4 linked regions of the Schizosaccharomyces pombe genome follow. The protein of the gene in region 4 purifies or fractionates together with the protein of the main gene of each other region. This does not show direct contact. Each region holds a gene or a part of one and is shown on either strand. Other genes may lie near its edges.

Region 1 (7,739 bases), 2.1 Mb from region 4:
CGGTCTTGGGTTTTTATAATTTTGTGTTTGAAGGTCCCATTTGATATTTGGAATGTTGCTGCAGTGAAACCTAACTGTTTACAAGTATTTTTATTTTTATTCATAAATGTCTCGTAAGCTAAGTCTCACCTTTTCTCTTATGCAAACAGGAGGTTATTTGATTATAGTTATCGAATAAATGGATGATTGATCCATGTATAAAATGATATTGTTAATGGTATTGATATCTTGTTTTAAAACATGTTTGTTACTTATAGAAGCACTATGTGTTGAAGCCAAGTCGATAAACTTTTAAAAATTAGGAAGTGTTCCATGAATAAAATATTTTAACATTAAAAAGAGCGAATGACTATTTACCCATAAAAACTGATGGATAAAATGCTACAAGACCAAACCAAGCATATTTTATTTATTTTGGAAATAAAACTAGGAAACTGTTTATACAATTAACAAATATAATTCTAATGCTCCTCTGTAGAAGAGGTTCTTTTAGCGTAGTAGCTAAATTTACTCTTTTGATGTTGTGAATAAGACAAGACGATATGATTTCGTTCTCTTTCACATACCAAAGTAAAAGGAGGTAAATTGAGTGTATTAAAACAGTTACGTTCTACACACATCACATTGATATTTTACCTAAATTTTGAAGAAAAACATTTTTTCTGGAATAAACGTTGGTTTAGAAGGTTGAAAAAATGAACACATCAGCTAGATTACTGGCGTTAGTCTCGAAATCAAAAAACAACTGGATTCTTCAACAAGGAGATACAAAACTATTTAAAAGCTTTCGTTTTAAAAACTTCATTGAAGCTTGGGGATTTATGAGCTGTGTCGCATTGCGTGCACAACAGCTAAATCATCATCCCGAATGGACTAATGTATACAATAAAGTGGATATTACGTTGACAACTCACGATACAAAGGGACTTACAGAAAAAGATTTAAAGCTGGCAGAATTTATTGATACACTTGCAAAGGATAACTGAAAGCTGCAACCAAGAGGGTAGTAGCGGAAAACTATCTTGAGACACAGATTGCCAGAAATTATTCTTAATATTTTGAATTAATTTAGTGTTTAGTGATGTGGTGTTTGAAAGGATAAGAATTTATATCATAAACTCATTAATCACCATTCAGCCAACTGGTCAAGTTGTTGAACATGTTTTGTCAGATGCTGCATAATAGCTTGCCTGTATTCTGGAATAGAACTTCTGCTGGAAGCAATTCTGGATATTGCAATTCTACTTGCCCTTTCATTTCTTTCTTGCTCGGCCTCTTCACCACCTATAACATCTCGATAATTCCAAAATTCAATGGCTTTTGAAGCTTCAGGGAGTAGAAGTGGTTTCTTGGCGAGAGGTTTTGGGTTGCCAGACATGGAGAGTCTTTGAAAGACGTTTCCAAAAGTTCGATAACTTTTGGACTGACCAGTACCAGCAAACGGATCCATATGACCTCGAAACGTTTTAATATACAAAAGTAAAAAAAACCCCCGTGAGTACTAAGAGACAATGACTTCAATCATTGATTTGTTCTTCTTTAAAAGAGAACCGTTTAAATATGAAAATTGTAATCTCTTTTGTATTTAAGCAGTAAGTGAAGAGGTTTGGACAAGTGATTAGGAAATTTCACCGATTTTCTTGTTTATTTACTATCTTGTGTGCGTAGTTGAACAAAACTCCTTGCCATCGTTAGAAAGCAATGCTTGTGGTATAAGAATGTGGAGTGTGTTATTAAAATAAAATAGTGAAGTCACCTTTTGTCTCCTAATATCTTAGTGAACTTTAACGTTGATGAACGATTCAATAACTGTAATGCTAAGAAGGATACATTGAGTTTCTCATATTTTTTTTTATTTGAAAAGAATTTTCATTATTATTATTTTTAATGATGCACCTAGTTATTGCAATCGCTATAGACTTTAAACTTTGTATTGAAAGAATTTGTCAAAATATTGGCAGTTGGTTATCAAAAAAAATAAATGTAAGGTATATGAAAATTAGGATGTTTTCATACTCACGAAAAATCATTTCTGGTAGATAAATCACTTAAATATATCACGATTACTTATTTTTAGTTATTTTACCTTTGAAATGTAAGACTGTATTACTTAAGTTTTTTCTTAGTATAATATGTGAACATACATATTGTCAGCGTACATCCTCATTCACCCTCAAACCTACAACGAAGTATTCTAACATGCTAAGGACTACTAGCCGGACATTTTCTAGGGCTTTGTCTTCTTCTAACTTTAAAATAAATTGTGGAAGAAGGCATTGGTTTAGTGTTTTGACGTTGCTTGAGCATCAGGGAGGGAACTTGTCTCCAGCATCCTTGTCAGCAGTAGAAGCAGCAAAGCGTACCGGTGGGGATGTTTTTGGATTTGTAATCGGTAAGGATTCTTCTCAAATTTCTCAAAAGGTAGCAAAATCGGTGAACGATTTGAAAAAGGTTATCTACGTTGAGAATCCGTCATATGAGCATAACATTCCCGATCAAATAGCCAATGTTCTTTTTGAAAATGTTAAGAAAAATGAAATTAGTCATGTTTTTTCTGCTCATTCAACTGTTGGTAAAGGGGTGATGCCTCGTTTGGCTGCTATGTTTGATGTGATGCAGATTAGTGACATTATTGGTGTGGTTTCTGCTGACACATTCGTTCGTCCGACATACGCGGGAAACGTAAACGTTACTGTGTCTACAAAGGATCCTATTAAAATCGTCACCGTTCGTGCATCTGCATTTGACGCCGCTCCTTCAAGTGGTGAAGGAGCAGCCACTGTTGTTGAAGGTATTGATCCAAAACCAGCTGCTCTACAAGAATGGGTTAGTGAGAATATTATAAAGAATGCTAGGCCTGATTTGTCTTCTGCCGAAAGAGTTGTTGCTGGTGGTCGACCTTTGAAAGACAAAGAGACATTTGAACGCATCCTTACACCTTTGGCTGACAAATTGGGTGCAGCAATTGGTGCTACACGTGTTGCCGTGGATTCTGGCTATGCTGATAATTCTTTACAAATAGGTCAAACTGGAAAAATCATCGCCCCAAAGCTTTATATTGCTGTTGGAATTGATGGTGCTATTCAGCATCTTGCCGGAATCAAAGATAGCAAAGTCATTGCTGCTATAAATCGCGATGAAAATGCTCCTATCTTTCAAACAGCAGATGTGGGAATTGTAGGTGACTTATTTGAAATCGTCCCGGAGCTTACTGAAAAACTTTGAAAATCATGTTGAGGAATGATTCCTTATTTTTCATAATATCACATTTATTTCAAATTTCACATCTTTTTAGAAGTTAATAAAATACACGTTTATTTAACTGGGTACTCGTAATAAATTAAGGAAATTTTTGATGTAATATTTAATTATATACCAGTGAAACAACTCTGAAGTCGTTTTATACATACATTTATGAAGCCACCTCAGCAAAGCTATCGTAGGTTGATTATCAAACATTTCAACGTATGAGAAAGAAAGGGATTTTTTTAGCGGTCTAGATATTTAACCAGAGATAAATGATAGAAACATGGAAAACATAGAATACGCATACACTCTCAGCAATACTTCAATGTCATCACAAAGCAAATCTATTAAAAGAAAATAAAATGCAAAGGCCGATTGATATTGCCAATAATTTTAAATTCTCTGACAAAAATAAGGGTGCGAAAAGAGAATATTTTCATAATATTTAAAACCCACGAGAAGCACCGCGGCCTCTGCCTCTAGTTCCACGGCCACGTCCACGTCCACGACCTCGTACTACCTCTTTCTTCTTTTGTTTTGGCTTTGTGCTATCATCAATTAAAAGGGTATCAAGTGGTAACGAGTCTGGGAGGATGTAGTAGCGTATGTTATTTCCACGAATTGACAGAGTTTCTACAGGCACTGGCTCTCTACCTTTGACAGTCATTTTAACAGCTTTTAAATGGGTATTCATTTGCATATCAACAGAAGTAATCGTTCCGTGAACAATTGTGCCTACGCGATTTGGTAAGTTTGGTTCATTTATTATACGAAAGTAAGGCTTTACGTACCATTTTTTAACTCAATAGAGACAGTTTCATTCGTCAGCTTCATTAAAAAGCTAAACTCGTTAGGAATATGTATAGATTTTTTATCATACTTACCGTACCAACTTCATGGTGTGTGCTTTGGTGTTCCTGGCAACTGCAAAAATCAAGTATTATGTTCGACTAAAACACATCAACAATAGATAAAATCATCAATTTTATGTTAAGATATAATGGATTCTGAAGTTTTACTAGTCCAAAATAGCTTTGTGATATTAATAGGCTGATCTTCATGTGCATTTATTTTTCCAGTATCTGAGAATAAAGTTGAGAAGCTAAGACTTCTTAATACAGATTCGACTGTTGAAAAAGCTTGATACTAATTTTAATAATTAAGTGAAAGCACTCATTAGTCTAAATAAATGGGTTTCGAACCCAATACTCGAATGAGCTTTAAGGCATCAAATTTTAGAGATAAAATTATTATGTATCGCATGTCATTTGTTTTAATCATTTATTTTATACAATTTAAGACATTTTATTCAAATACAAAATTCAAAGCTTTGGCTATTCAATATAAGAAGATTACCAAGTGAATTTTCACGAATTGAATTATTTTTTATTGTCCCGTAAAGCTCGCGCTAAAGCTGAACAGAAACTTTCATAAACATTATAATCATATCCTTCAATCCATTTACACTGCAATTGATTATCTATTACGTTCAGTTCACATTTCATTTGTCCTTCCAGACTAGAAACAGAAGTTTGACTTTTGGATATCCGTCGAGCTTTACGAGACCAAGTGATAGATTTTGTTGATATTTCCAAAACGGATCCTTTTTTAGACCACGGAATTTTGTTATCATCTAAGAATTTCTGTAGAATGTCATCAATTTGAGCACATAATTCTGGGTCTAAAGTCCAATTCTGAAGAACCTTATGGGGGAAATATTTAGAAAGGGAAGTTGAAGAAGGACGTATAAGTTCCTTTGGATCCTTTTGTTAGTATCATGAATTTTAAATATCGTTCGATAGCAGCATACATTGTGTGGACGCATAGCCTGAAATGACCAGCAAATTATCCAGCGCTTAGTCTTTCCAAGTGCGAGTTCGTAAATTCCATAATTTGATATCTTACAGATATAAGTTAAAAAAATTTTAAAGGCTAGTTAGGACTTACATTTTGTTCACGCAATTTATCAACCACAGCAGGTACACTTGATTTTTTGCCAAACATACAGGTATACCATTGAATTCCTTTCCTTTTTTTACTTTCAGTTAAGATTTTATTGGCAAATCCGACTTCACCACCCTCTGTAACCATTTCATGATAAACTCCAGTACAAACACCCGATGGTGGATTTTGCTTAAAATTTATGAAATCTTCCTCATGTTCATAAAATGGGGGATTACACATCACAAAGGTAAATTCTTCCATCCCTTCGGTATCAGGGAGTAAGCAGTCTTGTTTAGAACGAAGCACAATTTTGATCTGGGATTCCATGTTATTTTGAAGAATATTGCTCTTGGCTGTTTCAAAAGAAAATTTGTCAATTTCTAGAGTTTTGAGTAATTAGTAAAAGCCTGTGAAAAATCAAAGCTTACCGGTGCCAACGAAATCATATGAGTACATACGACAGCCTAATAATGGGTATATACAACTAGCGCCGGTACCAATATCCAAACCAATGATTCTTTTTTTATCCTTTTGCCCAGATGTACTTGACAACAGGTCATGAATATATCTTATATAAGTGGCTCTGAAAAGTTGGTTATAAATGATGAATAAACAATGTGTTAATATACCGGTTTGGAACCTTTAAATGAATTAGCATTTATGAGAGAAGGGAAATGTTTGTTTAAAAGAAACATTGGTGATGCTACACATCTCTTACCATTGGACATAGACGATTCTCAGGAAATTCAACACGAAGAGAATAATCCCGATCCAGAATTGCTTTTCCTAACGTACTAATTTATAGGTAAGCAATCGTTTAACATATGTGAGTTTACCAACCGAATAGCATCTTCGTTCCAAAAATCAATGCGACCATTTTTGACGCTACGTTCAATTAGTATATAAATTGGCATTGAGAACGCCCTACAAAGATCTCAAGTCGGGATAATCCCTTGCTAAACTATCGAAATTTATAATATCAGTTTTATCAGTCATATTTTTGAGTACGTAAATTTTTTTTGCTATATCGCCTTTATCGGCGGTTGCTTGGTTAAAAAACGCAAATTTGCTCGTACAAATAACGCTTTCGAATGCCGTATAATTAGTGGTAATATATAGAAAAATATTAAAGGTACATTAGGTGAGCAAAAATAAATACAGCATACACTGAGTCTACTTAGGTAAATGGTACAACATAATCGGTGGCCCTTGAATAGATTTTTCCATTTAACAATAGCGTCTACCCAAAGATTACTGGAAATTATTACTCATAAAGGAAAGAAAAGTAATGAATTTAAATGCTAATGAAGTTAAACTAGATAATGCTTCTTGATTTCTCAATAAGTTAAATTTAAACTCGTAAAGTTAATCCCTCAAGAGGATCGGCTTCTTCGAAGAAACTCAAATAAGAGTCATCAGTGAGAGCCATCATTTCATAAGAAACCGCGGTGTATGAGTTGGGGCATGTAACGTTGGTAGCATAATCGCAACCAGAGCTAGAGCAGTTGAAACGTCCAATTTCGGCAATGCGGTTTGGACGGTTGGAGTAAACAGTAGAATCGTTGGCGACGGAGGAGAGGTTGAAAAGAATGAATTGACCAACACCATTGCTGCCTTCAACAGTGATTGGGAAACCGCTAGTATCGAGATGTAGGTTGAGTTCGCAACTGCCGGAAACTTGAGGAACATCAAATGTGAAAATCGTGTTGGTATGATTGTTTTGCTTCTGAAAGACGACTGGAGAGTAAACATTACCGGAGTTGGAACTGGGGTTAGCAGAATCGATCAAACGAATTCCATGTGGGAAAAGAGGGTAAACAGCTGAGGAAGCTGCTGCGGATGCAGCTTTTGCCGTGGCAGTAGCCGATGCTGTAACAGGAACAACAACACATTTGGTGGTGTAAGCAATTGCCCCACTAGAAGTGCTTGCTTTAGCAGACGATGAAACGCGAGTTGAAGTTGAAGTAGCAGCTGAACTAGAAGAAGAAGAAGAAGAGGATGGAGACACGAAGGCCTCAATAGCAATACCTGCACAATTGGGGTTACCATTTCCGGCTCCGAAGTATACTTGGTAGACCTGATCATTATCACTAGCAGGACAAGCTACCGCAGATTGGGTTCCATTATATAGAAGATTGTATCCAACATTAGTAGCATCACCAGCACTGAACTTAGTGGAAGCTGCATTAGCATCAGATTTGAAAATAGTGGTGCCATTGCTGTCAACCGAAGCGTAAAGATTTCCGACAACCAGTCTTCCGTTACTCATAGAAAAGACAGCACTAGTACTGGTACCATCAGTAGGATCCAGGTAAATAGCGCCAGAGTCTCCTACATAGAAAGGGTGCAAGTGGACATAACTGTTGCCAGAATGAATAGACATTAGGCCAAATTGCTTGTTGTTCAAAGGGTCATCACGCTTATGCAACGGTGAAGCTAATGTGCCCGAGGCAGCGAGCAAAGAGAGCAATGTGGAAGCAATGGGGATTGAAGTAAGCTTCATAACGTAAGTTAAACAAAAATGCAAGAAAGTCAAAGCAAATGAATGT
Region 2 (9,103 bases), 2.9 Mb from region 4:
GTTGTCAAACACTCAGTAAGTAACTTCACCAACTCCGCGCGTCCAAGCCCACTAGAATCTTTCCGAAGTCTTTTCATATGCTTACGGACTGGATACATCAGTTCTTTGCAGCGTGCCTTTTGTTCAGCATTTAGACTTACATTACCATCGTCTTTTTCAGATTTGACGGGTGAAGCTGTCTGGCTGCGAGACTGTTCCCTACTAGGTGTTTCAATCTTCGTGTCTTTAGAAGAAGGTTTCTTACGAGATTCTGAAATTGCAGGCGATGGTGTCCTAGTTGCACTCTCTATTTTTTGCGCAGATTTAACGTTAGGCTTGCCACTTTGTCTGCGATTAGCCGTCTGCTTCTTAGGTTGAGTTTTTCCATTAGTACTAATAGCGGGGCTTGATTTTATGCCAAAATTTTGGTGATGCTCACGTAAAGCACTAAGTAGGTATTCACCTCGACGAACCAAATGCACAGCTGAAGGTACCTTTTTCTCTTTATTTTCTTTATCTTTGGGGACAGAGTTGTCTGTTTGTTTTGTGTCTTCTAAAAAGATCTTGTCTTTCATTTTGAGTTCTGGATCATCTCGAATTTCTAACCAAGCTCCAAATCCATGCTTACAAATTCCAGAAAGCAACATGGAATCTTCTCGGGGTCCCCACTGACAGGACCAGCCGTGAACAGATCTAACGTGCATTGGAATTTGGAAGTTAGAATATCCTGACGTTGGCATAGCATCATAAAGAATATCAAGATCATTTAGCCTTTGTACCAATGTTTCAGCATTTATATTTTTTACACCTTTAAATGTAATGAGCAGCGCTTTACGAGATGACTTATTATTAGACTGATCATTAGATAAGTCCTTCTCGGCTGCTGATACAGCCTTGCGTGAAGCGGTTACTAAGTCAGCTGCAATCTTTTTTATTACGTGAGCATCTTGCGTAGTAAGATCAGCATATTTAACAATGTCATTGTAGCGATGCTCAAGGCTTCCATATCTAATCATAGCACGATAAAGCAACCGAATTTCCTTTTCCAGTAAAACCTCATCTTTAAGCATTTGCTTTTTGCTCTTCCTTTCAGAAGTTCCAGAGTAGGATGGGGATTCCACCGCAGAGCTAGGATAAGGACGATTACCTCGTCTACTACTAAGCTCAATTTCTTGCTTAAGCGCTTCTTCCTCTTCTCTTAAGCGGTCTTCCTCTTCAAACTTCTCACGTTCAGTTAGGGGTATAATATCATCCCAAGATACATCTGCCTTATAGTCTGTAACTTCGAACTGTTTCAAAAACTCTTCACCACCCATGCTGGCTCCACCCACATCATTGGAAGTATCATGATCTTCGGCATGTTCCAAAATTTCATCTAAATTCATATCCTCAAGCTTCTTTTGATTATTCTCTGCTTTAAACATATTAGAAGCTCCAAATTTCAAAATAGCGCTAAGCTCTTCAGCAGAAAATTTATCATTTTTGGAATTCTTTTGCTTGTCTGTAACACCTAATGAAATAATTGCATATTCAAGAATCATTTTACGACGTGCACGTTCCAAGACATCTTCTTCAATCGTATCTTTGGAAAGAAGCCTGTATACCATAACATGATTTTTCTGACCAATGCGATGCGCACGTGCCATAGCTTGTAAATCAGCTTGAGGGTTCCAATCGGAATCAAAAATAATAACTGTATCAGCAGTCATTAAATTAATACCTAATCCTCCAGCTCGTGTGGATAATAAAAACACAAAATCTGGGCTGTTTGGTGCATTAAAATGATCTATTGAAGTTCTTCGTACAGCAGCAGGGACAGTGCCATCCAGTCTCTGATGTGGATATCCCCTCAAAGAAAGATAATCACCAAGAATGTCAAGCATACGAACCATTTGACTAAAAATTAAAACGCGGTGGCCGTCTCGACGAAGACGTGATAGAAGTTTGTCAAGTAACACCATTTTCCCGCTGTTCATAATTAAACCTTTTAAGACTTCATCTCGTCTTCCTTGAGAGTTTATTTTTTGCATCCATGACTCTTCTACTCCGTCAAATAAGTAAGGATGATTACTTGCCTTTTTCAACTCCACAACTATGTTTAGTAAAGATATTTGACTTCCCGAACTTATGCTTTGAGTAAGGACACGGTAATTGCGAGTTAAAATATTTTTGTACCAGTACATTTGTAAGTCAGAAAGCTCAACACGAAGGATACGTTCAGACTTAGAAGGAAGAGATTTCTCAACGTCTTTCTTTAATCTTCGTAAAATGTAGGGTTGTAAATGCTCCTGTAAACTTCTAATATAAGCTTCCTGCTCCTCATCTGGTGCTTCTAAATTAATTTCCTCACGAATCTCAAACTTTCCTGGCATCAGGAAGTCTACCAAAGCCGCAAGCTCACGAATATTATTTTGTAATGGTGTTCCAGTTATAAGTAATCGATTTGAGTTCTTGAACTGAGAAAGTGCTTCATAAAGTGACGATTCACTGTTTTTTAATCGATGAGCTTCGTCAATTGCCATATATTGCCATTTTATATTACTAAGCACCGAGCGATCTTTGAGTACATACTCATAAGTAGTTAGAAGCAAGTTGAACTTTATTTTCTGAGTTCCATCAACATAAAATTCGTAATCCCTTATTACTTGCCTTGAGGTGGTATTTCCAAGGTAACTTATACAATTCATATCAGAAGCCCAAAGAGCTAATGTCTCTTGCCAGGCAGGAACTGTAGAAAGTGGAACAACTACAAGAAAAGGTCCATGCTGTCTTAAAGAATGTGCAAGATATGAAAGAAAAGCCACAGTTTGGACTGTCTTACCGAGACCCATTTCATCGGCCAAAATCCCATTTTCATTTTTATGCCAAAGATATGCCATCCAGTTGACGCCTGTAAGCTGAAAGTCACGAAGCTCACCACCGGTTATATACGAAGGCTGTTGCTCCAGTTTTCGATACTTAGGACGCGAATTACCATAGTTTGTACCTCTTGATGGACTAAGAGCACTTTCTTCTCTTTCTTGAAATGCCTGAATTTCCGTGGCAGCAATAGGCTCAATAATTGAGGAAGCTTCCCATGTGCAAAAATCATATAACAGCTGCTTCCATTTCACTAAGTATTCAACTGAGCCATCGGAGTTTAAGTGTTTGGCAACAATTCTGTCTACCTGCTTATATTCCTCGTAATTTTCACGCTTTCTCTCTTTTTCAATATCCATTGCTTCAATGTCTTCACGCGTAGTGGTCGGATCTTCTCGAATTTCTCGATCAAGAAGTATGACTTGCTTAATGTGATTGTCGACCTTTTTAGATCCTCTGATCATAGAAATGTTATTGTAAGGTTCCCATGTACAATGAAGATGAGAAAAATTAACCCATTTAATTAAAAACTCATAATCTTCAGAAGGTGTAGAGCCATCGTGTCCTTCAATAAGTCTATGATCTAAAACGACATCTATAGCTCGTGTATCTTCAGGTTCTTCAGAAACTTCAGTTGCGTACTCATACATCTCTTCTTCCTCTTCTTCTTCAAACGATTCAAAATACGCGTCTTCGTTATAGTTAACACCTTTACTATTTCTAGAAGAAAATCGAATTTCATCTTGAACGTAGGTGTTTGATTTTTTTTGCCGAGATCGCTTTTTGGGAGTTCCGCCATAAGAACTATCATCTGACTCACTTTCCTCAGAGGTGACAGATTCAGCTTCATCGTCTAAATCGCGAATTGTTCGATGACGAGAAAAAGATGAACCATTTCTAGTACCTTTACGATGCTTGGATGGGAACACATCTTCTTGATCATCAGTGTCTACATATCTTCCTGGATTACTACGAGTGCGACCCTATAATGATTAGCATCTAAGTAAGTTTCATAATGAATAAAATAATGTGAGACATACAGAACGTCGAAGACCGTAAAGCTCTGGGTCGAGCCATTCAGTAGATTGTAATTTGCGCTTGGAGGCTACGCCGCTATTCGAAGGGGATTCGGACATTTCCTGCTTAAGATTAGGGGTTTCAGTTTGAACGTGATCCAGCTGCTCAATAGCCTTAGATGATGACAAAGCAAGTGCTATAGCACTTGTACTCATATCAACTAAAACAGAAGTTAGAACCAATTTCGCAAATTTCTTATTGCAAAACTTTTCCGAAATTGAAATGCTGAATAATTGTGAAATATGTAATAGGCTTCCATCCAACTTCTAGTTAACTGAGAACTGCCAGATGCCACTTTAAATGTGAATATTTATAACTCTTGACTAACGACTATATTTAGACGAGATCCGAACAGATTTAAATAAAGAACACATATTAACTCCCGTATCTTTTCGATAGGAAGCACTATATCGTTCATTTTCGAAGAAAGAGCAATTTTGAATAAAAGGTCGAATGCCACCAAAAAGATTGTATCACAAGAGAAACAAGCAAAACATAATAAGAAAGAAGGTTTTTAAAAAAAGAGAGCTACATTCAGTGCATTGAACAATGTAGGTTTAACAAAAAAATGCGACACGTGGATCATTCACATATTCAGCGTCAAATTCGGAAAACGAACTGTGGCTGCAACAAAATTTAATAAAAATTTACTTACGCGTTATTAAATAGAACGCTTATAGCAGTATTTTGCTATTTTAATAGCAACTTGCTAGTTTTGTTACAAAAACAATTTTTGAGGTACTGGTGGTAGAGGTTCAAATAGCTACAGGCTGTATCCGCTACTAAAGGTAATCAAACTGTATGAATACAAAAAGCGAGTTGAGAGAACATTAAAATGCATGTGTATTAAACGCACTAACAATTAAATTTCTAACTTGAATACTAACGAATTTCACCTTCTTCACTAGATTCTGCATCATCAACAATATTTTTAACAGCCGGTTGTGTAGCGGTAACATGAGAGATTGAATTTTCCTGTACATCCTGCATCGTATTAATTTCATTCCTATTACTTTTTGACGCTAAGTCAGCAGAATATTCCAACCTTCCATCTTCGTATCCGCTATGTGGTCGGGCACTATTCGCTAAATAACTTTCATCTTTACCGACATCATAATAACCTCTTCTGTTTTGGTATTGCTTTTCCAATTCCCGTTTTTCTCGAAGCCGTCTTATATATTTGTCAAAAGCAGCCATCCTGTGTTCCTCGGAATGGAGCGCAGCAAATTCCGGTAGAATAGAAATTAAAGGTCTAATTTCATCGTAAGAAGCATCGGCAGAAATTGGAGGTTTAAGGTATTTAATGGCACTTCTGAGATTATCAATTTTCCTTCGAATGCGTCGTTCATCAGCACGCTTTTCCTCAGCTTTTTTGTGGATCGCTTTATCACGTAATCGATTAACAACTTCTTCAATAAGGTCTTCAGTTACTGCCTCACTTTCCTCTCGATCTTTAAGCTTTTCTGATAACCTTGCTATAATTTCAGGAATATTAGATGTGTCATCCACAGATATTTGCAATACTTCAAGACAGTCCAAAACCAAATTACGCTTTTCCCGATACATATTCTCCAAATCAACGATCGTATCCCAAAATAAATCTAATGGTGTAGAGCCAGATTGCCCTAGTAAGTTAAGATATCTTGGATCATCCTTGATTATGGGATATAATTCTTTCCACTTCGTGCGTAATGTAATCTTCTTTTGCACGCGTAAGTCTTGTAATAGCGCACGAAAGGCATCACGATTTTTCCTTTCTATACGATGCTTTTCTTTCTTCTGCTTTTGTTTGTCAAGAATATATTCGCGTTCCAAATGCTTAACATGATCTTCAAATGCTACAAGAGCATCTAATTTAGAAAGATATTTCATATTTGAATTCCTTGTATACCTTGGATCTTGATCAAATTTTGCTTGCGCAACGCTCCAGCGGGTGTAAGGCTCGAAATTCATGTTTCGCAAAAGCGAACAAAAATCATCCAATGCTTCCTTTCTGCGATCCTTTTCCAACTGCTTTTCATCCTCTAAAAGCTTTTGCTTATATTCAAAAAATAGTTGTTGTTGTTCAGTTTCAGAAGAAGTAGCGTTAAAAGCAGGATGAGAAGAAAATTCATTCTTCACAGTACGCCACAAAGTATAAGAATGAATTTTATCACTACTTTTTAGCATCTCAATAAACTCCTTCCTAATCTTAGTTACTCGGTTCTTTTCTGCATCACTTTGATCGGTCAAATAGTTTAAGATGTACGCATCGAAAGCACATTTCCGATGCCAAGGATCCTTCATGACATAATAGCCCTTAGCATCACAAAGCTCTCGGACAGTCTGCTCCCAAGTCCAGCTTGGGTTGACATTATGAGAGTCTAAAAATTTAAAGAAAGCGCGCTCTGCGGCTTCATAGGTATCATAGTTTTCGTGCTGATAATCATTAGAACGTTTTTGGCGCTTATCCTTTTGTTGAACAAAGTTTATAGTTCGTTTATGACTGCCTTGTGAAATTTGTTGGCTTTGATCTTTAGCTGGTTGACTTGAAGGAGCAGCAACATCCGGACCATGCCGTTGAATGCTTTGAACAGCTGGCTTGTTGTCATTGCTTTTGATTTTAGACGACAAAGCCTTTTTTTGCTGTTCCGGTTCATCAACAAGGGCAGCTTTATATTCATCAGGAATATCCCACACTGATTCACGGGTATTGACATTATACCAATACTTTTTGCCATCAGCGGTGGCATATTCTTTCCAAGCTAGTTTCGAAAGCTTTTTTTCAAAGTCATTCATTAACTCCTCTGGTTTTTCCCAAACACTTTTGCGCGTTACTGAGTTGTAGTAATAAACTCGAGAATCTTCTGTCTTCACTTCATGCCAGTCAGAGGCCACAGTCTTGGAAGGAGCTGCTGACGGCCCTTCCTGATTAGACGTGAATCCCTCAGTTTCATCGTACTCTGAAGTTTGCCATGGAGGTGCAGACATCTTCACATTTATGAATAACTCCCCTTAAAATTGGGGTTGTGGTTTAAGCCAGCGTGTAGAGTTACACTCACTGTTCACTACAAACGGGTGTGGTGGTCGAGTCTATATGTGGGGGACTCGTTGTTTCACTGTATTATCAACTACGTAATATCTAATTGATAATAGAGATACGTTAGACTGTGGTCAGTTTAGAATACATTTACTATATTGTTGTAAACAGGTCTTGAGAATAACAGACTTCAAAGTGAGTTAATTTACAAGCGATGCTATAGCCGTTGCTAAACAACTTATGACTGAGTTGAAATATGGAGTGAGTTAAGCTGTATCAAGAGAAATTAAACTAATTTTATACAAGAAGTAGAAAAAGCTATATTGACATCGTACTTATATTAGGGGGTATTCAAAAAAATGAATGTTTTTAGTGACGTTTAACGTAAATTCTGCAAGACTTAAAGATTTAAACAGAGCGTGTTATTCACAGTTAAAGTATTTGTTGTTAAAAGTCAGTAAAATACTTAGGGCATCGCATGGCGAGTTATAAGGGTGCATACGGGCACAGGTAAGAAGGCATAGGATAAAAGAACACGACGTTTCAAAAGACGTTAGTCTTTTTAGAAAAATGGTTAAGGTGGCAGCTTTTGTTTGTGGTGTTGCCAGCAGTGGTAAAAGTACGTTTTGTGGAGCATTAATGTCTTATATGAAAAGCGTTGGACGTTCTTGCCATTTAGTTAATTTAGATCCTGCTGCAGAAAACTTCGAATGGGAACCAACTGTTGATATTAGAGACTTAATATCCATTGATGATGTTATGGAAGAGCTGGACTACGGCCCTAATGGTGGGTTAATTTATTGTTTCGAATTTTTGATGGAAAACTTAGATTGGTTAAATGAAGAAATTGGCGATTACGACGAAGACTATTTAATTTTCGATATGCCTGGACAAATTGAATTGTATACTCACGTACCAATTTTACCAGCATTAATTCGCCATCTTCAAGTAACCCTAAACTTTCGTCCTTGTGCTGTCTACCTGTTAGAAAGCCAATTTCTCGTTGACCGTACAAAGTTCTTTGCGGGTGTTTTAAGCGCAATGAGCGCAATGGTTATGATGGAAGTCCCGCATATTAACTTATTGAGCAAAATGGATTTACTCAAAGACAACAATAACATTACAAAAGCGGAATTAAAAAGGTTTCTCAATACAGATCCACTCTTGCTCACAGGTGAAATTAACGAAACAACAAACCCAAAGTTTCACGAACTTAATCGGTGCATTGTTCAACTGGTAAGTCACAGAATCATAATTCCTCGAGCTTCTGCTAATGACTAGATTGATGACTTTAATATGGTCAATTTCCTTCCTCTTGAGAGCGGAAACGAGGAAAGCGTAAGCAGAGTACTTAGTTATATTGACGATGCTACCCAATGGTACGAAGATCAGGAACCAAAAGATCCTGATCGGTTTGAAGCAGATGATTTAGAAGACGATGAATAGGGAGATACACGTATAGAAGGGTAAAAATTTTGGAACCGGTGCATAGATTCTTATGATGTTAATGAAAGTCGAAGAGTTTCAACGTTTGCGAATTTTATTTATAAATAGTTTGTAATTTGACACATCTCATTTGTAAAGTTTTAGCATAGTAGTTTGAAGAAAACAATTAGATATTTTTTTGTTTAAATATAAATAAAATGTTTTGTAGGAACTTGAATGCATTTACTGATTATACAATTGATGAGTACAACAATGGTTTTAAATCCGGTTCCAACAAAGTACACAGTACCAACAGCACTATGTGAAAAATGGTTTAAATAAGAAATGGCTATTCATTAACTAATCATGTACAAACAATGTAATCAAAAAGCTTTGCTAAAATTCGGCATAGAATTCTTTAAAATTGTTTACCGAGAATTTCCGTACGTAAAATGAAGTGAGTGACATGCAAAGTCATCAGCCAAAGCCAAATAATCAATTATGGGACAAGTACTATCAATATGTAGTTCCAAGTCAAAGGAAAAAAAAGTGGTGAATGAAAAACCAACTGTAAAACCAAAGCCTGCAGTGAACGTTCAAAAACCAGCAAAAGCCATTACGAAAGCTAGCTCACCTCCGCGTACGGGCAGAAAACTAGCGGAAACCGGTAATACATCAAATAAAGAGCATTTATCCCCCACAGAAGCAGCCCGAGTTGCAGCTGAGGTAATGAATCTGACAAAA
Region 3 (8,458 bases), on a different chromosome or scaffold from region 4:
CTGCTTAAAAGAGGTGCGTTCTCTATCACAAAAACATATATGATTTATTTACAAAAGGGGTAAATCCATATTAACTTTTTACAGTCTGATTACGTTCGTAACGGAAGTTCGTCTGGAATAATCGCTCTTTCAAAGGCAGAAACAGACACCTACTGGAATGCAATACTCAATCATGATTACTATGATTTCCGTCCCATTGCTATAAAAATACTTTTTTCAAAATCCAAATTCATTCCTTTAAAAATTTATTTAGGGGCCAATGCTCCTATTATACAAACTTCTGCACCTCTTGGTAGTTCTCTTGGTGAGTTTCTCAATAAACGCCTTCCCGACTTGTTTCCATCATGTGATAAATTCTTAATAGTTAAACCAGTTATTCATGGTATTACAATTTTTCTTCAGAGCGTTTTAGACGAGCTCAATCGAGATTTCTGTTACATTGATGGGTTTTTACATATTGTTTTAATGAAAGTTTAAAACATTTACGTCTCTTCTCTAGCTCCTTTAGATAATTTGTTATTCATGTACAAATAATTTTAAGATTTGTATACCCATGCAGTCTAGCAATGACTTTACAATGACATTAAGGTGCGTTTGAGTACTCCTTTCCCTAAACAAACTGCTTTTTAAGAAGTAGGAAATGCAACGAGATATAGCATTGATAATTTGACTATGAAAATTTCTTTTTAATGAGAAGTCGTAGATTATGAAGACCCATTGGCAGCAACACCAGATGTTACTGTCTCAACAACACCCTGAAGACGGTAATATTTCTCATATGGAGATTCACCAGACTTGATTTTTGCTTCATTCACAGAAATACCAGGGTGACCGTTAGTGCTTAAAAGCCTAGTACTAACCTGTTTCAAATCTTGTCCTTCATCGAGCTTTTTCCAGTGGGATTCCCGTACACTAAAAGGCCCAAAGACATCTCGATCAATTAATAAGTATTCCTGTAAAACTGAAGGATCGTTGGATTGGTGGCAAAGATATTCCATGTATAGCTTTGTAAGATCCATTATCGTCCTTGGCGGTAACCTTGTTTTATTTCTAATCATTTCCATTACATTAGAGACACGGGCGTGATGTTCAGTATAGTTTTTGCTGTCTGGAAAATATGTAAGCCACAATGTACATTGATGTATAATTGAGTGTAAAACACAAAACAACTACTTACTTAAAGGCTGCTCTAACTCAAACCGAAGAAAAGATATCCAAAAATGACGGCAATCCAATAAAGCTGGTGCATTTTGTAAAAACATATTCCTTGCAAGTTCAATGTCCCCTTCAATTTTCCAAACTAGTTTGATGTCCTCCGTAATTAATACTTCAGTAATGCCTGTATTACATTTTCCTTCATTTATTATACTCCGCAAAACTGCATGTGCGTTGGTTAAATCGTAATTGGGGGCATTTCTTCTTTCTAAACCAACCCATCCTAACACTGCTTCGAGATTTCCAGGAACTATACGTTAATGTTAAATTTTGTAAAAATTACTTACGTTGAGTTAAAATGGACTGGTAGATTGCTTTAGCTGAAGCTATGTTGCCTTGGGATTCCTCAAAAAGAGCATATTGCACTCGGATTCCTGGTCTCGATATTGAAGCAAAAATGCAAGATGCACGTTCATAAATTATAGAAACATCGTTAAGATGGTCAGGTTGGGCTGACATCCACCTTGCATATCTGAACCAAAATTCATCATAAAGTGCACAAGTAATTAAACATCTCTCATACAAATGACATATTCTCTGAAAATCTCCCTCCACTTCTTCAAAGTCCAAATATTTTCTCCAATTAACTAGTTGTGCTTCATCGAGTTCTTTAACATGAAAGTAAGGACGTTTAATTTCCGATTCGAACGTCCATCGTTTAGCAGTTTCGAGTTGAACTTTTTGAAAAATTTGCAAATGGATATTATATATGCGAGCTCTCATCTCTCTTTCAATTTCGAGTTCACCGCGTTCAACGGTAATTTGTTTTGATCCAGCAGAAACAACTTTAGCGGGTTCACGAGTTACATCAGCTCTGATAGATGCCAATACGTCAGGAGGTAATAATTGCTGTATTGGTTGACTCTGTGAAACTTGAACGAATCTACGACGTTAGCCTTTGAGCTTAAATTGAATTTGATCACAAAATTAATTGAGACAATTACGAATGTTAATGGTAATTTGTCCGTACCTTTCAAAATAACGAGCGTATTGATGTAGGGGAATGTGTATAAGACGCTCTAATAATTGAAATACATTATCTGGACGCTCCTGACGCTCCTCAAATTCCAGATATTTATCCCAAAATGGATGTGACAGAAAATCCAATCCAACCATGTTCGCACCTTGCATGAATAGCCTGATGAGTTAGTATTTGTCACGTGAAATAAGGGTTTATTCTTACTCCCGAACTTCATTTGCATCACCATTGGTTTCCATTTTAAAAGCGCAATAGTTTGTCCACAAATCAACAGAGTGTGGAATACCAGCAATTCCTCGTTCGTAGATCTATTTTTTTATTAGAAAAATAACAAATCGCATAATACTTGTGTACATACATGCTCTGATGCTTCAGCACCTGCCACAAAAAACTCAAAATCTGCATACTTCTTCCAATAACCAAACAATAGCGGATATTTTCCCAAGAATCGATCGTACACACTTCTTAATGTATTGATAGCCTGTTTCGAAGAGTTTCTGCCAACACCTCCCTCAAGATGTTCTGAAGCACGAACCAGTCCTTCCCTAAATCATAATTAGCACTAAATAAGTTGTATCTGACAACATCCTACCAAGCATCAAAATCATCTGGATTTTTATTTATTTGACGATTATATTTATCCCATTCTGTTTCCTCTGCAATGTAAATATCCCCATAATCCATTTTGGTTCGCAAGTATAAAAGCGCGTAAGGATAAAATGTAAATATCGAACAGCAACGAAATATACTTTCTTCAGCCGTATTCGGTTGAACTTAAATAAATTACAATATTAGTTTAGTGCAGTACATTAGTCTGCCGAATCGTATCATACAGAATAATACGACACTGCCCGCAACGCTGATTTAAAAATTAATAACTAATAAAGTACATTTGGGCGATACACAAGCGTAAAATGATTATTGTTCTGTAACAGACTTACTAATATAATGAAAATTCAACTACAAATCACTGTATAAACATGACTCACTTCAACATTTACAAATATTTATTAACATTGGAAATACTTAGCTACTAAGCAACGAATCAACAAAAACTTAATTAGGTATAAAAAATATTATTTCCTATAATGAACACAAAAACACAAAAATGGACAAAGAATGCACATGTATCTAATATTATATGCAAACGAACATAATCTCAAAAAACTAGATTTAAGATGCACAGTAACTTAACAAATTATCAATCCAAACTTAGCTAATAATATAATATATAGACCCAACGAATCGGAACAACAAATTTTGGATCTAGCTGCCTCACACAATTCATAAATCATACAAAGACGTTTAGCTATTGCCTTATGCGTAATCTTCCTCATGGGAAGAGTATTGTGGAGATGAGTCAGTGTTTGAAGCACGCTCAACATACTCAACAGACTCACCACGGGCACCGCCCTTTCTGGATTTCTCTTTCTCAACTTTCTTTTGCTCAGAATAGTTAAGCTTAAAGTTACCAGATTCCCAGGGCTTGATGACAGACATATACAACTCATTAATTTCTTCCAAAGTAAGACCTTTAGTCTCTTTAGCAAACAAGAAAATAACAATTGCACCGGTCAAATTACAAGAAGCAAAAACGTAACCGTACTTGAATCCAATAGAAGCTTGAATGAATGGAGTAAAGAATGAAATTAGGAAATTCCAGAGCCAGTTGCTAGCAGTAGCGACGGCAGCACACTTAGAGCGGTAACGAACAGGGTATGACTCACCAACAATAACGTATGCGGCAGGAGCCCAAGTTTGAGCAAATCCAAAAATGAAAAGACATGCCATGACAATCATAACGGCACCAGCACGGGTATTTGAAGTACCGTTCTTATGATATAAAGCACGAGAACCGACAGCTGAATAAATGAAAAAGCAAATTGACTGCCAAATACCACCAATGATAAGAGGGTTACGACGACCAAACCTTTCCAATACATACATACCACCAAAAGTGCAGCCAAAATTAACTGCATCAAGAATCATAGCAGATAGGTAAGGAGAATTAATACCAGCTCCTTGCATAACTGAGAAACCATAGTAGAAGAAATAGTTGTTACCGGTCAATTGTTGAAGCGACATAACAAACATACCAAGGAAAGTACGATAACGAATGTCTTTACCGAAAATGCTTGCCCAGCTGCAAGGGCCACCAGCAAATTCTTCGTCAATAGATGATTTGAGACGGTGATATTCATTTTGAACTTCCTCACTATCAGGAAAAAGCTCAGCACTTTCAGAAAGAACTCTAACAGCCTCTTCATCCTTGCCAACTTGAATAAGATAACGAGGGGATTCGGGAAGGAAGAGAATTCCAATCATGGTAATGATACCCCAAAGGAGATTAATACCAATTGAAACACGCCACTGGGCAGTTTTATGAAGTTTGTGAGTACCCATATTGATACAAGCGGCAATGAAAATTCCACCAGTGACAAACAACTGATAAGTGACGACGACGGTACCACGAATACTGGGAGGAGCAGTCTCTGATTGATATCCAGGAGCCAAGACAGAAAGAGCGCCAATACCAATACCAGTCCAAATCTTGGCAACCATGATTTGTACCCAAGAGGGAACAGCGGTAACTTGAACGATGATACCAATGATATAAACAGCACAAAAACCAATGATAGAAAGTCTCTTACCAAAACGATCGGCAATGGGAGAAGAAATGATACATCCAAACAAGGAACCAACGTTAACCATACCAGTTAAAAGACCTTGACGAGCCGAAGACAAAGAATACTGGTCGGTGATCGGGTCATATCTATCAGCATAACGCTCACGAAAATCGCGCATACTAGTAACACCACCAATGGAACCGGTATCAGCACCAAACATCCAACCGGCCATGGAGACGAAAATTAACATAACAAGGGTAAAATTCTTTCCACGCTTGAACCCCATTTTGATAAAGTATAAAGGAATCTAATAAAGATGAAAAAAAACAAAAATTCTATAGAAAGGATGTAAGTGGAAAATAAAAGATTGAATAAAATTAACCACACGTCTATTTCAGTTGCAACACGTTAAGCAGAAATGATAGAACAAAGAACAGACAGTTTATGAGTTAGAGATCTTGACAAGAGATTCTCAATAAATAAAAATTAAAAGAAAAATTAATCTAGATTATGATTTTCAAGCACAGAGAGCTTGTATTTTCAAAATCGGTATAAAGAAAGGGTAACCAAGGAAAGCACAATGCTTTTATTGAGCTTTCTTTGGATTTCGTTCTTGTTTAACCAAAAAAAGAAAGGATTTTTAGGTAAATGAAGACTAAAGTTGCTCTTGCACTTAAAAAGCAAGAATAGGTCTAGGTAAAGATTTTAACAGTCAAGAGGGCAGCTTTTATACTAAATTCGGGAAGAGAAACCCCGACAAAAGTATCAAAAGTCCTTTGCTTTCAGTGAAATTTTAGACAGGATCGCCGGAGAGTTTTTGGTTATACGTCACAATATTACAAGGGCAACAAGGTAGTTAGCAAACTCTTGTATCATTGGACGCCGACTTAAAAAAACGCAGTCACACACAAATAAGAACGAATAAGATGTGGAATAGAATTTAAACGACGTGTATGACGAGGATCAACAGCTCGTTGAAAGTCAAGAACGAGGTAAAAATGTCACGATATCATTAATTCTCCATAGCAAAAAAAAAAATTCAATCGTAAAATGATACACTGTACGTAATGAAACTGATGCATATACTGGGGAAAGACACTATTAGTGAGGTAGAAAGCCGATAACAGGATGAAAAAACGACTTTCAATAAATGTGATGTAGGAATAATTCTCAAAAGTAAAGTAAATTTAAATACTTTGGCGACCGAGGCTGCAAGTTCGGACTGCTAGCAAATACAGAGTGTATTCCAACGTCAATAATTTTAGCAAAGTAACCGAAAAAACCAAGTATATTTCTATACTCCTCATATCGTTAAATCAAGATTGAACACAAAAAAACGTTTCCTGAGGCAAAAGAAGTAAAGTGTCTGCAGTAAAATTAATTCGCAAGGCGAAAAAATAATACCAATGGTGGCCATACGTATTGGAACCAGCAAATATCAAAGTTTAAAACACAGCATACTCTCATCGCTGCATGACTATCTCAAAGCTGGCAATAGAACAATTAACGTTACGGAACCATAATCCTTCAAATTTCGATTGCTTGCATTCTCGAGCTCCACATATTCGAGTCCATAACGGAACTAACCTAAATGCGGAGTTCCTCTAGTATTAACTAGTAACATGAATAGAGCATAGCCGTGCTCTTTTTTTTTAAGAAAACGTCACGCAACGTGTATCTTATCTCTGTCCTATCCAAGTCAGGATAGCTAGGGGCCCCCAACCTGGAGACCATACATCGACCGCGACACCAACCATCCTAGCGAGACTCCCTAACAAGAAGGTAAATATGGATGGACAATGAACCTTTTCAAAAAAAAACAGAATTCTCAAGCGATATATTCGCTCTTGAACAGTTCGGTGTAAAAGGATACTTCTATCCCTTGATTACGTGTACGCCCATACTTCATTCGGACTATAGAAGAAATATGGAGCTGTAACCCGTACTGCAATTGTCTGTGTTAAGAAAATGTAAACGCTGCACACTAAATCATCACTAATTCATCGCTAACTAACGTAGTCCCTAAAAAGTTATGAACTTGGTAAACGACTTTTGAGGCCTTGGGACCTCCTTAAATACGCCCAACTCATTACTAACAAGGTTTGCTATGTCCGTGAAAAGCGCCTATTGTACATATATTGCTCCCATATATGTGAAGCTTTTGCCCAATCATTGTAAGACAGGGTCTTGCTATATTTCCCTACCCCGCTCCATTCTTCCCAAGTCTGAGAAAAACTGTGGAGAAGCCTACCAATTTTGCCTAAGGGGATTTTGATCCCGCCTCTGCAATCTATTGGACGATAATAGCTATAACTACATTTGATTGGATGAAAGACATGTGATGAATGCTGGATGGTTTTGTTGTTTTTAAATGACCACCGATAATTTTTTTAGTTAGTACGCATACATTGATGAAAGCTGAAAAATTATAATAGGGTGAATAAATGAAATTCTTTTTGTGTCTTTTACTCTAATATCGTCTGGCAATTTTCTATTTTCGTACTTCGATAGCGCCATACATGTCTTGTCACCCGTTTTTACGAGCTAGGCTTAGAAATATCTTGGAATTTTTTTTCAGACATGTTGATGATTGGCTGATACTTTTTCCAGTTCTGCCTCCTCCACAATTTGCATCCGCGTTTTCCAGAGACGTTGGGGCAATAACTTTGTCTAACATTAAATTGAAATTACAAGGGTAAGTATTTGAATCAAGACTAACCTTTATACGTTGAATGTCTTCGATATTGTAGAGAATGCCTTGAAAAAAAAATTTTATTTGTGTTAATACAATCTAATATTGTGGAATAAAAAATGGTTTGTGACTGCTCTTCTGTTCTCGGCTGTTGTATTTCTTAATAGGACGGCTCGTAAAATTCGTTATTTGCGCGTCCAGTACACCATCGATTCCCATATTATCCACAGTTTACAAATAACAATATTTATATCATTTTCTTTACTTTGGGTAAACGCTCTCTTTCAGTAACTAAATCAATTGTTGTTTATAAAATTTTTATTCTTTTGTTTGCGCGTTCAAAATTTGTCTGCACGGTAAATCATTAACGCATAAACTCGGTTCTTTTACCTAGGTATCTCGTAAATTATATAAGGATTTGTACCATATTGTAACAAAATACAAGGCAAACTGAATTATTGTACAGATTATCGTATTCACTATTCAAGCATTCGTAACTTTTTCTGCAACTGAAAACAAGATTAATGAGCAACAACATGGTCAAACATAGCGATGCGTTATCGTGTTAAAACTACGTCCATTTATTGAAGTTCTTCCTTTCGCGATCTTTAACTTGGATAAGGAGTGTTTCTCTCCATTTGATATTTGGTACATTAGAGTACTGTATTTTGAAAACAAGCGCTTTTAGAATACATCCAACGAAATATTAATGCTGGCTATAATTTACATTTTGAAATTGAATGTAAAGTCAACCATTACGAGCCATATTTACTAAAACAAGGTGGTACCTGAAAGACTACTTCTTTTGGTAATTAGCTGGAATTTAATGCCATAAGCTGGATTGTCTTCCAATTTTTAAATACTCGTGTTTTTTGATTCATCATAACATTAGTGCCGAAATTCACTGTGAATATCTTTTTATATTTAACATCCAATGGATCCTCA
Region 4 (7,729 bases):
TTTCTTTCCCTTTTTTGTTATTAAAAAAATAAATAAACCAAATAATTAAAGATCCGAATGTAATTGAGATATTCGTTAACGTTCACTGCTAATAGATCGTTGCTGATTGCTCCTCTAAATCTAATGCAATAAAACACAACTTGAAATATCGTAAAGAGATGCAATTTCACTCCAATTTGATCCTTGCAAGAGCCTAATTAATTTCTGTCCTAATTTAATGAATTAAACAGAATGCTTATGGTTTCATAAATAATGTAGTTTTTATATGGTTGATGTGGTGGTTTTAATTCACATATCGCTCTTCACTTAACTAACCGAACAATTATATTACGAACTCTAACGTACTACCTTGCCTTAGAAACGACGCCCCCAATACATATTGGTAAATCCTTTAGTAAAGTGAATGAACGATCGATTGCTTCTAATGAGCAAGTCTTTGTTTTTAAGACCTATTATTTGAAGGATACTTTTGTCGAATGGGTACATCTAGGGTCATATGTAATTCATAGAATATATAGATAAATCATAATTTTGTCCTCAACTTTACTATTAACTATGTGGGGAATTGTGGAGAAACACTAATGTTACATTTACTGTCTAAACTGTAAGCGAGAATACTACCTATCTGAATATTGTAATATAAAAACATAGAAACATTACTAAATTTTTAAAAATTTGATCTGTACCACTTGTTTGATTTTATACTTTTTTTTCAATTTATTCTACGGGTAATGCTGTTTTAGGAGTGCGAACTTAAGTAATTGTAATTGGGAGTTTTACCATAGTTCAAAGATTTGTGACACTTTTTATTATTCAGTGCTAAAGACTTGAGTGGTCTTATTAGGCGAATATACAGAAAGAATTTTATTTTCTCTCCATAAACTGCTAACTTCAATCTGGAAGATTTGCTAATATACCAAAGATTAAAGCTTATGTTAATAGACTATGTCGCGACTCTAAAAAGCCAAAACCATATAAATTGAAAATACTACGACATCTTGCTCGTGCTGATAAATTGTTTTAAAACATTTTTTGCACTTGCATTGTAGTGTAAATAGGACATGATTCTCAAAATCATAGACTAAAGAAAACCGCTTTGTTGAATGTTCTTCTTCAGCATACACATAATTCTCTTAAGCCTTTGAAAAATTAGCCTAAGAAATTAAATCCACAGAAAACCTTTATTAGGTAAATAAGTACAGTATTATGTACAGGTTATTACATGACTACAACGCTATTTAAGGCTAGTAAATAGTAGAAGCAAAATTGAAATGATATTTATAGATAAAAAGAAATACACATATGTTTTGGTATAAAAAAGTTTAATCGCATGCGATGCTTGTATATCTATAGATCGCAACTCCGCTTAAGTTTACGGAGCCTTAATATAAATCAGAAAATCGTGAGTAGAACATTGCTTAAAAGCGAAGGTCCCATCCAATTTTAGGACCTAAAATAGGAAGTTGTTCAGCTACGCTTTGAACATCCTTGTCACCACGACCTGAAATGGTGATCACAATATCCTTATCTTTAGGTAACTTTTTAGCAAGCTCCATTCCACCATACACAGCATGAGAAGATTCCAAAGCGGGAATGATACCTTCAAGATGACATAGAGCGCGGAATCCTTCTAAACATTGAGCATCAGTGACAGCGATAAACTCTGCGCGATTGGTATATTTAAGTTCAGATAATTCGGGTCCCACACCTGGATAATCCAATCCAGCAGATATAGAGTGAGTATCTTGAATTTGTCCATCTTCGCGTTGCAGAACATATGTTCGAACTCCATGAAATACACCAACTTTTCCCATAGTCAATGTAGCACTATGTTTGGGGGTATCTACACCATCACCACCAGCTTCACAACCCAACATCATTACACTTTTATCGGCTTTGAAGGGAGAAAACATTCCAATCGAATTGGATCCACCACCAACACAAGCAACAACTGCATCAGGAAGTTTTTTACGCTTCTCTTGCATTTGCGCTTTCGTTTCCTCGCCAATGACACTTTGGAAAGTTTTAACAATGGTAGGGAATGGATGAGGGCCAATTGCAGATCCAATTAAATAATGAGTGGTGTCTATTTGTTCGACCCACGCCTTCAAAGCTTCGTTAACAGCATCACGAAGGGTCTGTGTACCTGAAGTAACCGGAACGACTTCAGCTCCCAAAAGACGGATGCGAAAAACGTTGAGTGCTTGACGACGACAATCTTCTGCACCCATGTAGATAGTACATTTCATACCAAATTTAGCGGCACAGATAGCAGTAGCAACTCCATGCTGACCAGCACCAGTTTCAGCAATGATACGGTTTTTTCCTAAACGTTTGGCAAGAAGAATTTGCCCAATACAGTTGTTAATTTTGTGTGAACCACCATGATTCAAGTCTTCACGCTTCAACCAAATATGGGCACCACCACAATACTCAGTTAAACGCTTAGCATAATCGAGGGCACTTGGACGACCCATATACTCATAATAAGAACGAAATTCTTCCCAAAACTTTTCATCATGCAAAGCCTTATAAAATACACTTTCAAGTTCAACTAAGCACTGGGTTAATGCTTCTGGAACATACATACCACCAAACATGCCATATTTTTGAGGAAGATACATTTCGTTGATAGGTTCGACCACAGCAGCAGGGGGGGCAGTAGCAACAGAACCACCGGATTGAAACTGTTTAGGTACAGGTGCGGATGGGTCTTCTTTAGTAAGATATTTACAATATTCCTCAACCACGGTAGCAGCAGTGCCAGGCTCTGCCTTCAAAATCAAATCGATAATTTTGCTTCCAACTACAACACCATCTGACACGCTGCCAACTTGGTGGAAATGTTCACTGGTGTTAACACCAAAACCAACTGCTAGAGGGGTATCTCCAGCAAATTTACGAACACGCTGACAGAGCTGAGGCAAAGCAGTATTGATTACTCCGGTAGCAGATGATCCTGTACTACCCATACGAGAAACAACGTAAATAAAGGAGTCAGCCACAGAGGCCAAGAGCTCCATACGCCTGTCCGTAGTAGAAGGAGCAACAAGAGGAACGAAACTAACACCTTGCTTTTTACATTCTTCTCTAAAGCCGACAGCCTCCTCTGGAGGAAGGTCAACGATGATGAAACCATTAGCGCCAACCTCCTTTGCCTTTTGAATAGTTTTGGCATCTCCATAACTGAAAATAGGATTGTAGTAACCCATCAAAATTATAGGGATAGTTACACCTGCATCACGAGCGAGCTTTACAGTTTCAAATACTTTTTCTAAAGTAATATTATTCTTCAAAGCAATTTCGTTTCCCTTGCAAATTGTAGGACCATCAGCGACGGCATCAGAAAAAGGAATACCAAGCTCAATTATTCCTGCTCCTCCATTTTGCAAACCTTGCATAATTTTGATAGTTTCATCAACATTAGGAAAACCGCAAGTGACAAATGTCACTAAAACATTTTTGTTTTCTTCTTTTGCTTTGAGAAACGTTTTTTTAATCTGCTCTGTCATTTTTCATGAGTTTTGCGATAGTCAAAAAAATATTGGCGGTGGAACAGAGATTGGAGGGACCGACAGAATAGATCGTTAAGATTTCAAACGAAGATGACCATATTGATAAGTCAAATAATTTTATAGATAACTAAATTAAGTTTCAAAACATTATAAAATCGTTAAGGCCTGCAATTGTGGTGCAGATTGAACCAAATTTCGTAAGTTCATGGGCAAATTACCTTCAGGTGGATGGATGTTAAACTAAAAAGTTAAATTTCGACTTCACCATTAACTTCACTTGAATGTAAGCTGTTTACTACTAATATAAAAGTATATGCCTAGTTGATACTAAATTTTGTTATGAATGAACGGAATCAACCTGAGACATCAATGTCTAGATTAATCAAATGTAAGTAAATGAGAATTGGGGTTGCTGACTTTCATTGTTATTAGAAATATATACAGTTTTTACAGAACGGAAGCTGATTGCACAGACAATTCGCCTGTCGAAAAATAAGAGTATTGGCGTTACATAGCAATCCATCAAAAAAGTTTGTCATATTTTGTTGCATTAAATATCACCTTTTGGTACATTTTTTAGATTTCTCAGAATAATTTTAAAGATCCTGTAACCTCATTGATTACGCTGACAGGCCCAGGACCAATGCCCAAGACTGTAGCAGAACCAGATGCAATCTGGGTGCGACCAGCATCGTGTATAACCCTGGCACATAGCCCTAGAGACATTGCTTGGGCTTGCAGTAATTCCAACGTCTCTTCGGTTTGAGCTTGAAGAGTAATTTTAGCCTGTCCAGCATTTTCCCATATACGTACCAAATCGGGGTCCACCGCAGATGCGATTTTGTAGCAGGCTAAGGCTGCATGCGCACATTGAGCTGCTATTTTTCCTTTGGTCATGCCTAAATCCGTCCTAACGACCAATACCATTTTAGTTTGTCCTTCCGCCAATGCAAGCGCAGCCAAACTGCTGTTTCCTTTCAGCATATCTAAAAGTTCAGTTTCGGACTCGCTGTCTTCATCATTGCTAACAGAAACAGGACTTTCTTTTTCTGGGTTAGATGCTTTGTTGGCATTTTTGGAACTATAACCTCTTGATGCATCTGCTACACTGTATTTGCGTCCGATCATAAACCCCACTACAGCGCCGACAAGTACTGCTGCAGGAAAGGAGGAGATCATGAAATTTACGAAAGGTACTTTCATAACTACTATGAAATTATAATGTCAAAATAATTATGTGTGCGAAACTTAAGAGCTAAGAAACATAATATATACCGGCAACATCATTAAATTGATGTAGTGAAGCGCAACATACTCCTCTCAAAACTATTAATTTGTTTCACAAAATTAATAATGATGCATTCAGAGAAATTAATATTAAATTTCATTAAAAGAACGAAGAAGGATATCTCATATATGTGTTTGAAAAGTTTGACTGACCAGAAGCCAACTCATGGTACTTATTTAAATTTAGGCGTCTCCAATCTTCTATGCGCTTCTCCATTTTAACATGATAACTCGAAGAAAGAATGAGTAATCAAGAGTATACAAAAAATTATGTTTAGCGTTAACATTGAAGTGAGACTTTCTAACATCAATTGTAGCGACGACGCTTAGGGGAACTATCTCTTCCTCCATAGTCTGAAGAGTGAGAGGAGCGAGTAGGACCACGACCAAATCTTGACCCTCCTCCAGAAGATTTTCGAAATCCTCCTCGATAGCCACCACGAAATCCAGAGTCGCCACGAAATCGGGATCCCCGTTCCCGTCGCGGCCTTTCTTTTGTATAATGTCGCCCGCCAAGTCCACCACCTAACTTACGCGGTAGCCATCCTTTTACAGTTCTACCTCTTTCGACATCGACCACTATCCGCCTTCCATTTAGCATCAAACCAGCTGATGCTTTGTAAGCAACTTTTAAATCTCGTTCCCTTTCAAACACAACAAATGCATATCCCATTGATTTTCCTGTAACTTTATTACGAACAACTCGTATGCGCTCGATAGGCCCATATCGAGTAAATTCTCGTTCAATATCGCTTTCCTTGGTATCATAGCTTAACCGAGAAAGAAACATAGTTTTATATGGATCTCCAATGACATGGCGATCGTGATCAGGATCCCATACCTTAATCATGGACCGTAATCTTTCTCGTTGCTGTTTTTGTTTCTCGTCTCTAAGACGCAAACGCTTTTCTTCCAAGCTTTCAGTCGGGTGATATTGTTGATCGTGAGACTGCGCATATTTCAGATATTTTGCTATGCCTGAAACGCGAGGTGTTGAACGTTTCTCAGGAGGCACATCCATAGGAGGCAGATACCTCAATGGGGGACGTGGAGCAAACAATGCAAGTAGAGGAGCCGGTAATTTTTCAGCCATTCTATATGAATTGTTTTTTTTTATTTAGAAGTGTGTGGGTGCAATGCTGTGTAGGGTATATCCCAGTAAAGCGATATTGCCTGTATAATAAGTGCTATGTGGGGGCGTACAGTACAATTTTTTCGCTTATTATTAAAATATGTAAGCAAATTATATAGTCATATTTATTTGACATAAAAGGGAAGCAAATATGTATTTACCCTATGAATAAACCTAGTACACGCATGGGCTGCATCAAAAGGAAACCTCATAATTTTAAAGGACGAAAAGCCTCACCAGCTAATAAAAGTTAGGGAAATCCTTATTTCAACGTTGAATTCATGCATGATTAAAACGACAACAACAGAACATTGAGTAGACCGTTATTCTCAACAAAAAGTGATAGAAAAAAATGAAAAGAGCCACTAGATTAACTCAGTGTTCAACATTAACATCTAAGTCTCATTTAAAGTCAGTAGTCTTGATATTCATTAACAATTTGAATGTAAAACGAAAAATAAACATTAAAGGAATAACTTTAGAAGAGAATACCATATGTGTATTACACAGTCGTTCATTAGTTTCTAATGCAATGCCAATTAGAATAACAAATTAATGAAGACCATTGGAGTTAGAAGACACGACAGATTGTAAATATGACAGAAAATGATCATCAGACCCTTTGAAATCGGATTCCTGGGTATCTTCCTTTTTTTGATCTGCCAAAGGCGAACGTTTTAAAATCTTAACGAAACCAGGACTCATATCAACATGGTTTTTGTTGGTTTCCGAATTCTCCTTCTTCTTTCTATTTTTCAATTTTGATTGCGATAATTCGTTTCGTTTAGGAGGAACCTCAGACTTTTGTTGCGGAGATACTTTTAGTAAATCAAACTGATTAGCGGCTTCTAGTGGCTCATCATTTCTGGGAATACGAAGTGTCTTCTTTAACAAATCAGTGCTTTTGCTGTAGTTTTTGACCTCCAACTCCTTTACCTGACTGGAAGCTTTGCGTTCGTTATTCTGTGATTTATTTTGCAAATCGTTTGCAGGAGTAGGCAATCCAGATTTAAGAAGTGTAAGTAAACTTAACGAATCAGATGTCTTTTTCGGTGTTTCCTCTTTTGTTTCGGTTGCGGATGGATGTAAGAGAGCTTGAAGTAATTGTGCGGAGTGTACAGAATTGGCGTTAGGATTATTACAACTTTCACCATGCAAATTATCTGATATTTCCTCTCCTTGACTATTGTCAGAAAATTTCTTTGTCTCTAATGAATTAGGCGTCAAAAAAAGATTCGCTAATTGAACATTTGCCTCTTTGCTTAACGTAGAAGATGAGGGTGTCGTATCCTGCTGAGAGAGCATACTTAATAACCTTTTTGAATTTGAGTCTCCTTCCGAATTATATGATTGACCTGAGTTATCGGAATTTCGAGCTAAAAACTGAGTCTGAGATTGAAAAGGAGGAAGAGAAGAAATTTGTTGAGTCTGATGACCATTTACATAGGGAGAAGAAGATCCGTATGCTGGTTGCGGAGTTTTGCCTAAACCATAGGAACTAACGGAAGTCGAAGTGGGAGGATAAAAAACTTGATGATAAACAGTACTTGGCGAGGGCAATTCCATTGGAGAAGGCATGTCGCTAGCGGCAAATAAATGCTGAACAGAATTTTGGTCTTTAAGTAAATTTGAATACATACTCTGCTGAAAGTGATTATTCAACACAGGTTTATTAGTTAACATGTTGTTTTGAGAAACAACTCTTGGAAAAGAAGCAGATGGATTTTTTGGATCCAATCCAAGGTAAGCAAAAGGATCGAAACTGTTATTATCATGCGATAAACGAGAATTGCTG

The links.
Region 1: the proteins of usp101 (region 4) and smd1 purify together in Schizosaccharomyces pombe (co-purification; one study listed by BioGRID). This does not show direct contact.
Region 2: the proteins of usp101 (region 4) and prp40 purify together in Schizosaccharomyces pombe (co-purification; one study listed by BioGRID). This does not show direct contact.
Region 3: the proteins of usp101 (region 4) and prp39 purify together in Schizosaccharomyces pombe (co-purification; one study listed by BioGRID). This does not show direct contact.

The regions. Positions count from the first base shown.
Region 1 is NC_003424.3:4,516,847-4,524,585, forward strand, and holds smd1 (Sm snRNP core protein Smd1), read right to left. Parts: upstream 4,169-7,739; 5' UTR 4,145-4,168; coding exon 4,131-4,144; exon of another isoform or gene 4,088-4,130; coding exon 4,038-4,087; exon of another isoform or gene 3,982-4,037; coding exon 3,692-3,981; 3' UTR 3,341-3,691; downstream 1-3,340. Other genes in the region: omt2 (4-alpha-hydroxytetrahydrobiopterin dehydratase), read left to right, coding at 696-986; anaphase-promoting complex subunit Apc14, read right to left, coding at 1,127-1,450; etf1 (electron transfer flavoprotein alpha subunit), read left to right, coding at 2,200-3,225; methyltransferase Mtl16, read right to left, coding at 4,626-5,000, 5,057-5,146, 5,194-5,570, 5,619-5,773, 5,820-5,830, 5,909-5,984, 6,031-6,104; SPOM_SPAC27D7.09C (But2 family protein ), read right to left, coding at 6,542-7,693. UniProt on the Schizosaccharomyces pombe protein: Plays a role in pre-mRNA splicing as a core component of the spliceosomal U1, U2, U4 and U5 small nuclear ribonucleoproteins (snRNPs), the building blocks of the spliceosome.
Region 2 is NC_003424.3:5,373,394-5,382,496, reverse strand, and holds prp40 (U1 snRNP-associated protein Prp40), read right to left. Parts: upstream 6,931-9,103; 5' UTR 6,886-6,930; coding exon 4,798-6,885; 3' UTR 4,735-4,797; downstream 1-4,734. Other genes in the region: CHD family chromatin remodeller Hrp3, read right to left, coding at 1-3,821, 3,879-4,070; GTPase Fet5, read left to right, coding at 7,505-8,170, 8,216-8,380; protein new13, read left to right, coding at 8,861-9,085.
Region 3 is NC_003423.3:3,424,221-3,432,678, reverse strand, and holds prp39 (U1 snRNP-associated protein Prp39), read right to left. Parts: upstream 2,911-8,458; 5' UTR 2,879-2,910; coding exon 2,787-2,878; exon of another isoform or gene 2,740-2,786; coding exon 2,553-2,739; exon of another isoform or gene 2,503-2,552; coding exon 2,399-2,502; exon of another isoform or gene 2,354-2,398; coding exon 2,186-2,353; exon of another isoform or gene 2,155-2,185; intron 2,099-2,154; coding exon 1,503-2,098; intron 1,466-1,502; coding exon 1,178-1,465; intron 1,109-1,177; coding exon 705-1,108; 3' UTR 501-704; downstream 1-500. Other genes in the region: autophagy-associated protein Atg5, read left to right, coding at 1-13, 85-477; plasma membrane glucose/fructose:proton symporter Ght2, read right to left, coding at 3,512-5,107; U1 snRNP-associated protein Usp102, read left to right, coding at 8,448-8,458. UniProt on the Schizosaccharomyces pombe protein: Function prior to stable branch point recognition by the U1 snRNP particle to facilitate or stabilize the U1 snRNP/5'-splice site interaction. Has a direct role in the assembly or function of a catalytically active spliceosome.
Region 4 is NC_003424.3:2,456,240-2,463,968, forward strand, and holds usp101 (U1 snRNP-associated protein Usp101), read right to left. Parts: upstream 5,944-7,729; 5' UTR 5,896-5,943; coding exon 5,110-5,895; 3' UTR 4,912-5,109; downstream 1-4,911. Other genes in the region: trp2 (tryptophan synthase), read right to left, coding at 1,419-3,512; pth2 (aminoacyl-tRNA hydrolase), read right to left, coding at 4,101-4,718; mRNA-decapping complex catalytic subunit Dcp2, read right to left, coding at 6,487-7,729. UniProt on the Schizosaccharomyces pombe protein: Involved in nuclear mRNA splicing. Essential for growth.